2 linked regions of the Mus musculus genome follow. The protein of the gene in region 2 purifies or fractionates together with the protein of the main gene of each other region. This does not show direct contact. Links are inferred from orthologs where the notes say so. Each region holds a gene or a part of one and is shown on either strand. Other genes may lie near its edges.

Region 1 (3,743 bases), on a different chromosome or scaffold from region 2:
ATCAAAGCAATGCCAGTATGTGAGTGTGCCTTCCTTGCCCAGGTGTTGGTTAGAAGTGGCCCTGGATGCTGGGTAGAAGCAGCGAGGCTGGTATTGGGGCTGGAGGGCTAAGTGCTGCTCAGGCCCATGGGGATAGCCTGTCAAGTGGCTGTGGAGAAAGGCTTGTGGCTCAGACAGGGGCTCAAGGCCCCAAGATCCAGATCACCAGGATCTCTTGAGACTTGGCCCCTTAAGCGGGAAGAAACTGCCCTTTCCTCTCTTGCTGGGGGGGGGGGCGGGGGGCAGGTTCCCCGCCTCTGAAGAGGAGGGCAGGAGGGAGGAGCCCAGCAGGGCGTGTCGCAAGAGGGAGCGCCGCGCGCCCCGTGCGGGCCCCCTAGGAAGTGGATTTGGCCCGCTCCAGATCCAACCCAGCTTCCAGGTTTTCTCCCGGCCCGGCCCTGCGTGCTCCCGCCTGTCTCGGGCTCGCCCCCCCCCTCATGCCCGCCCCCTCCCTCCCTTAGGGCCGCCCCGCTTGGCCAAGTTTGCGGAGCCTCGCTGTGCGAGCCGGGCCAGTCAATCAGCGGCAGAGCTGAGAAGGGCACAGCCGTGCGGCCGAGGGCAGTGAGCTGAGCCGGGCTGGGTGAGCGGAGCAGCGCCGGGTGGCTGAAGCCCCGCGCCAGCGATCGCCCGCCGACGCCGCCCACACTCTGCTCTTCTGCGACGCCTGCCACCTTCCCTTCCTTCCCTGAGCCCCTCCGCCCCTGGCTAGCTGGCCCGGGTTCTCTAGCCTTCGGAGTCCCGAGGTCACGGATCCTCTCCCTAGTCCCTTGGGTCCCGCGCCCATTCCACGCCTTTTTCCTCGTACCGCACCCCGGCTGGGCGCCTGGCACCGGGGACCGTTGCCTGACTCGAGGCCCAGCTCCACTTTTCGCCCGCGTCTCCTCCTCCTGCCCTCCTCCTCCTCCTCCTCCTCCTCCTTCACTACCAACTTCAACTCCCCGGTTCTCGCTCCGCTCGTGAGTGTTCACTCCGCGCCTCTCCGCCCGCTCCGCAGCGCTGCTTTCCATCGGGTCTCATTCTGTCCCCTAAAGGTGGGAGCGCGTCCGTCAGGGTCCGCACCATGGCACGCTTAGGCTTGCTCGCGCTCCTCTGCACCCTGGCCGCGCTCAGCGCCTCGCTGCTGGCTGCGGAGCTCAAGTCGAAAAGTTGCTCGGAAGTGCGACGTCTCTACGTGTCCAAAGGCTTCAACAAGAATGATGCCCCCCTCTATGAGATCAACGGTAGGTGGGAATCCTGCACTCTCCCCATTACCGAGCGGTGGGCACCCCGGGAAAAGGGGCGCCCCCCCCCACGCCGCATCAGGTAGCCGAGAGGGAGAAACGGGCAGGCAGGAGAGCCAGCCCCGGCTTTGAGCGGGCACCGCGAGTGGAGGGGCGCCGCCGGTTTATTCAGTGCCACCCAGGTCCTTTGCTGCTGCCCCCCACCCCAGCCCTCTCACTCCCGGGAAGCCACTAGGGACTCTGGCCCTCAACGTGCGTGGCTTGGGCTCTCTCGCCTTTTCCGGGTTGAATTCTTTACTGGGTTCCCCGCTTTGTTGTGTGGGTGACGACGAGGCCGAGTGGGGGCGGGGTGGGGAACCTCCTGGAGTTTGCAGATTCCTAGGGGCGCAAAACGTGAGACTTGAATGAGCCGCTCATTGACGGTCTCCTAAAATTCCTCTCCCCGCCGCCTCTCTTCCACCGCTGACACGGTTTAGTTTTTAGGAGCTGCAAGGGCTTTAGAAGTCACCTTTAAAAAGCGAACTCTTCTTACTCCTTCAAATCCCGACTTTTGGGAAGTCTCCAGCTTTCCGGAAGGTGTTGGATAAAACGGGTATTTCCCTTCCTTTTCTCTTTTCTCACCTCATTTTAAGGGTTAATTGCACTTTCAATTACAGACCTTTGAAAGGACTGATTACAGGAAACCTAAATCTCAGTTTGGAGATGGTTATGCAAATGAAGATGGCTTTGCCTCTGAAAAAGTTCACCGGATTTCAGCGCTGGGGGGGTTGCGGGGGGTTGTGTATGGTATTTGGGGGAAGTCCTCCTAGAGCGCTGGGGAGGCTGCATCAGGTATGCCCTCCCCTCCTGCTCCCGAGGTCTCCAGGCCCGCTGGTGGCAGTGCCTGGGCTAGTCCTCCTTCCCTGTTGTACTAGATTTTTGAAGCCGCCAACTGTTGCGCACAGCCCTGCGGGCTGGCGGCCGAAACGGCACAGGTAGCTTGTTCACCCTGGAGACTCTGAAGGAGCTACGAATCTAACTGGCTTTTGGCCAGCTTAACCTAACGGAGGCGTTAGAGATTCGAGCCCCGAAGGCCAAATCTCCATTCCGAACCATTCATGGAAGTGTGCAGAGTGCGCCTTTGCCTCGCTGTACTGGTTGCCCGGGTGGGGCAGGCAGGGGGCCAGCAGCCAGCAAAGGAAATACTGTAATTTTAACCAGGCGCTTCCAAAAGCTTTAGAAGACTTGGGGGTCATCTTTTGGAAGGCTATTAATAACCTCGGAGATTAAGTGTGGTCATCAATTACATATAAACTACAAAAGTAATTGAGGGAAGTGGCTGGGTACTTTCAGAGTGTAATCGGGCTCCATCTAGAAATAGAACTGAAGAAATTGTTGGTAGTAGCCCAGGCGTCCACTGCACCTTGGCAGTTGTCAAGTAACTCACAGGCTACTGATGAAAGGCTGTTTGCCCTTCAGCTGCCTGTCTTTTTGGGAACTCAAGTATGTCCTCCCAGACTCATGATTTTATTGGTTGTAGAGCTCTGAAAAGCCCCCTTTCTTTTCCCTCTTCCTCCTGCCCTGCCAGCAAAAGAGAATTGAACCGGCAGCCGCAGAAGCTTGGGAGCTCTGCAGGTCAGACCTGAGGTCTTTGTGCCCTGCACGGCTCGAGCCTGGGTGCTTCAGAGATGATTGGCGTGAAGGTTACAGTTGTCATTCCCACATTCTGAAGGGAGGCATGCAGCTATGCACTTAATGGGACAGTGACAAGTTTCCATGTGCCTGTACAAACAATATGTGCCTCTGAGATGGTCTAGAGGCATTTTGGCCGAGGGCTATGAAATCACCCTCCCCAGGTACTTCAGGTTTGTGGTGTGCAGTCTCTAGAGATGGCAGCATCCCCAGCCATCAGTCTGATGGACAAGGAATTTGGGAAGGTGATGGTCAGGGACGATGGGTGTTCCCTTTGATTGTCACGGGCACTGAAGATACCTGAGGTACATCTTTGTATAAATGTCTATCTGGACCCCCCAAAAAAGATAGGGAGTTATTAGTGCCCAGCAGCAGGAAATGGAAGCTAATGTGCTCACACCCAAAACATTTTATTCTTTTTGTCTTGTCCTTCATCTCCCTCCCAGGGCTGCTGCTTTTATTTCCCCCTTTCAGTGACCTACTGGACTGCATTCTCCTGAGGAACAAAGGAAGTGCCTTTTTAGCTGGAATCCTTGGAAGACCACCAAGGACTTTAGCTCATGCAGTGCAATTTCGCACCACTTTCAACAATAACAAAAATGCATGACTGAATGGCTCAAAAATGTGGAGTGTTAGAGGCATTCATTTGAGTCTAGGACACTGTCACAACACAGACAGACCCCAGTGAATACCTTTTGATGGCTGGTCTAGAAGCAGGGTAGTCTTTACCATCACCCTGGCCTCTCCAGGTGCTCGCATCAGCCTCACCTTTTGGGGACTATCCTTAAATCATTTTGACCATTTGGGGAGGCA
Region 2 (3,743 bases):
TCACTAGGGTGAAGCACCCCAACATCCTGCAGCTGGTAGATGTGTTTGTGACCCGCAAGGAATACTTCATCTTTCTGGAGCTGTGAGTACCATACTGGGGTTCCAGGATTCCCCAGTCCCTAGGGTCTTTTCTTTTTCCTCCCTTTATAGCTAAAGAAACCCACTTTTGAAACCCTTTGGGTCCCAAGGCCCTGGGCCCTGCCCAGCCAAGTGCCTGGTACAAATCAGGCCTCCCAAATGCTCCTGTCCTACCCCCGACCCTGCCCACGCCGGGCTCAGGGGCTGGTGTCCCTCAGGGCCACGGGGAGGGAGGTGTTTGACTGGATCCTGGACCAGGGCTACTACTCGGAGCGAGACACGAGCAACGTGGTGCGGCAGGTCTTGGAGGCTGTGGCCTACTTGCACTCGCTCAAGATTGTGCACAGGAACCTCAAGGTAAGGCCAGAGCCGGAGGGATGGGCTGGGGCTGGCATGAGTGCCACACTGGGCTCTGGTCCGGCTTCTGAGGCCCTCATGATGACTTCTGCCCACCCTTCCTACCATTCTCTCCCGAACAGCTGGAAAACCTAGTGTACTACAACAGGCTGAAGAACTCAAAGATTGTCATCAGCGACTTTCACCTGGCTAAGCTAGAGAATGGCCTTATCAAGGAGCCCTGTGGAACCCCGGAGTATCTGGGCAAGGAGGGATGGGACAGGGGATGGTCTGAGGGACAGCCTTCAGGGGGAGATTTTGGGGTAGGGAAGAAGCCTCTATTCCAAGAAATGGGTATAGATGCTGCTGTATATGGCCACACTTGAGTCTAACCAGCAGATAACCACTTTTTTTTTTTTAGCACCAGAAGTGGTAGGACGGCAACGGTACGGTCGCCCTGTAGACTGTTGGGCCATTGGCGTCATCATGTATATCCTGTGAGTGGCAGGGCACACAATTGGGCTTGCAGCCAGGTGGGCTGGACAATTACGTCTGTGGCCCTCCTAGGTGACCCTACTCCATGTAGGCTTTCAGGCAACCCGCCCTTCTACGAGGAGGTGGAAGAAGATGACTATGAGAACCACGATAAGAATCTCTTCCGCAAGATCCTGGCTGGTGACTATGAGTTTGACTCTCCGTACTGGGACGATATTTCTCAAGCAGGTGAGGGGATACCCGGCCTGTGGGCAGAGTATAGGGCTGCATGGTGGGAGGCACTGCTCTCAGCGTCTGCTGGATTACTACTCCTGCTCCCCAGCCCATCCTTCACAGCTAGACAATGAGATGGGGCACCCTTGCCTAGCCCATCCCTGGCTTTGTCCCCAGCCAAAGACCTGGTCACCAGGCTGATGGAGGTGGAGCAAGACCAGCGGATCACCGCAGAAGAGGCCATCTCCCACGAATGGTGAGCAGGGCCCCCTGGGAGGAGTGGGCGAGCCTCTGTTGCGCTTTGAATGTCTTACACCAGAAGTCCGCATCCTTGAGGTCTTGGCAAGGGAAGGCGTTCTAGAGCTCTGGCCAAACCAGACACTCTGCCTGGTGGCCCTCCATCACACCGGGAAGGGCTGTGCAGACTCCACGAGGCACAGACCATTCCCATCAGATGCACTTGCCTCCTTTCTAGGATTTCCGGCAACGCGGCTTCTGATAAGAACATCAAGGATGGCGTCTGTGCCCAGATTGAGAAGAACTTTGCCAGAGCCAAGTGGAAGGTAGGCTTTGGCTCGCATTCCCCTTGGCCCAGTTCCAAGTGCCTCTTCTTGCACCCCACAGTTCCTTGCTGCTACTGCACCTCTTCGGCTGAACACCAAGTTTTCTCAGGCTTCCACAGGCGGCTGCAGCTGCCGCGGTGATCAGGAGCTGAAGAAATGAGTAGCTGGATAGCCAGCGGCAGCTGGGGCACGACAGAAGGGGCTGGGCTTAGCCGTTTGGAAGGAGTGGATCTAGTGAAGCTCACCACGAACCTTTCTTCACTGTCCTCCTTGCAGAAGGCTGTCCGAGTGACCACTCTCATGAAGCGGCTCCGGGCACCAGAGCAGTCTGGAACAGCGGCGACCCAGTCTGCTTCAGACGCTGCCACTCCTGGGGCTGCTGGTGGGGCCATCGCTGCTGCAGCTGCAGCTGCAGCTGCAGGTGGAGCTGCCTCAGCCTCTGGGGCCAGTGCTACTGCAGCCACAGAGGGTGGTGCTGGGTGTGCTGCCAAGAGCGATGACATAGCCTCTGCAGATCGTAGTGCTACACCAGCCACAGATGGCAGCGCCACTCCAGCCACAGATGGCAGCGTCACCCCAGCCACGGATGGCAGCATCACCCCAGCCACTGACGGGAGTGTCACTCCAGCTACTGACAGAAGCGCTACACCAGCTACTGATGGCAGAGCCACACCAGCCACAGAAGAGAGCACAGTGCCCGCCACTCAAAGCAGTGCCCTGCCAGCTGCAAAGGCAGCAGCCACCCCTGAGCCGGCTGTGGCCCAGCCGGACAGCACAGCCCTAGAGGGTGCCACAGGCCAGGCTCCACCCTCTAGTAAAGGAGAAGAGGCTACTGGATGTGCCCAGGAGTCTCAGAGGGTGGAGACGAGCTGAATGGGCAGCCTGTTGGGGGGTTTTGAGGGATGGGAAGGAGGGTGGGAGTTTGGATGAGGGGCTTCTCACTGTATATAGAGTCACTGGCATGATGCCCTAGCTCCCCCCAAGCTCCCTCATCCCAGTGGGGCATGCCTGGGGGCCATGGGAGAGCAGTCTTGTCTCCTGTGTGGATGTATGTGAGTGGCGGGCAGGCCAGAGGCAGGGCCAGCCCCAGCCCCTGCATGGATTCCTTGTGGCTTTCTGTCTTTCGCTAGCTTCACCAGTTTCTGTTCCTTGTGGGATGCTGCTCTAGGGATACTCAGGGGGTCCTTGCTCTCCTTCCCTCCCTGCCTCATCACTCCCCCAGGCAGGCCCTGCAAACCTCATCCTTTCCCAGGCCCTAAATGGGTGGCCTTGCCCTGAGAGCTGGTCCTCCAGCGAGGCCCTGTCAGCAGTGTTAGGCTCCTGCACGGGAAGGTGTGTACCTGTGGTGTTTGGGCTGCTCTAGGAGTGTGCAAGAGAGGATGCAGAAAACCTAGGGCAGTGTGCTTTAAGTCAAGTCTGGTCACGTGGTAGGGAGCAGGCATTGCATGTTAGCTGTGGGGATCCTCAGAAGTGGGAGAGAGAATGGGTAGAAGCTTCCATCTTTTTTCCCTGGGTGGGGGTGGCGATCTTCCCTCTTGAAGATCCTTGTGTTATTTCATAGCCTCCTGAGTCCTGTAGCGGGTTGCTCTGTATCCCGATTCTTAGGAGACTCTAAAGGAAGAGAGAAACATGTCGGACACAGCAGCGACGCCTAGGAGAACAGAGTACAGTGCCCCAGCCTATCTGGCTCCTTCCTGTGAGCTGGATAGGGAGGGCTGGTGTCCCCCCATCCCCCCATCGTCTTCCTAGATGCCATTACCAAGAAAGAGACCTTTGCCATAGCCACCTCATGCAGGCTCAGGCAGTAAATCCTATTCCTCCCAGGGAGGCGTGGCAGCACCTCATAGGCTGCGTTGGGAGCATGCTTTTCACAGCAGCAGATTTTCTGCTCTTAGTGCAGCGATATGGGGAGGCTTTTCCTCTTTGTCTACCATCAGAGGCTGAGGTATTGCTCAGCCATGTGAAGTAGCTCTGGCTGGGATGAGGAAGTAGACTACAGTTCCCCAGCTCCCTGAGGGATGCTCTCAGCAGGTGCCCTTGGTCAGACCCTACCACAGC

Evidence for each region. The genes of interacting proteins can lie anywhere in the genome.
Region 1: the proteins of Camkv (region 2) and Gpc4 purify together in Homo sapiens (affinity purification with mass spectrometry; 3 studies listed by BioGRID and IntAct, counting the BioPlex papers as one, with this or other methods). This does not show direct contact. The link is inferred for Mus musculus from reciprocal best matches to the Homo sapiens genes CAMKV and GPC4.

Annotation. Positions count from the first base shown.
Region 1 is NC_000086.7:52,162,132-52,165,874, reverse strand, and holds the start of Gpc4 (glypican-4 precursor), read left to right. Parts: upstream 1-951; 5' UTR 952-1,099; coding exon 1,100-1,259; intron 1,260-3,743. UniProt on the Homo sapiens protein: Cell surface proteoglycan that bears heparan sulfate. May be involved in the development of kidney tubules and of the central nervous system.
Region 2 is NC_000075.6:107,945,783-107,949,525, forward strand, and holds part of Camkv (caM kinase-like vesicle-associated protein), read left to right. Parts: intron 1-7; coding exon 8-82; intron 83-296; coding exon 297-435; intron 436-557; coding exon 558-678; intron 679-835; coding exon 836-911; intron 912-1,000; coding exon 1,001-1,137; intron 1,138-1,231; exon of another isoform or gene 1,232-1,299; coding exon 1,300-1,378; intron 1,379-1,597; coding exon 1,598-1,685; intron 1,686-1,961; coding exon 1,962-2,558; 3' UTR 2,559-3,743. UniProt on the Homo sapiens protein: Does not appear to have detectable kinase activity.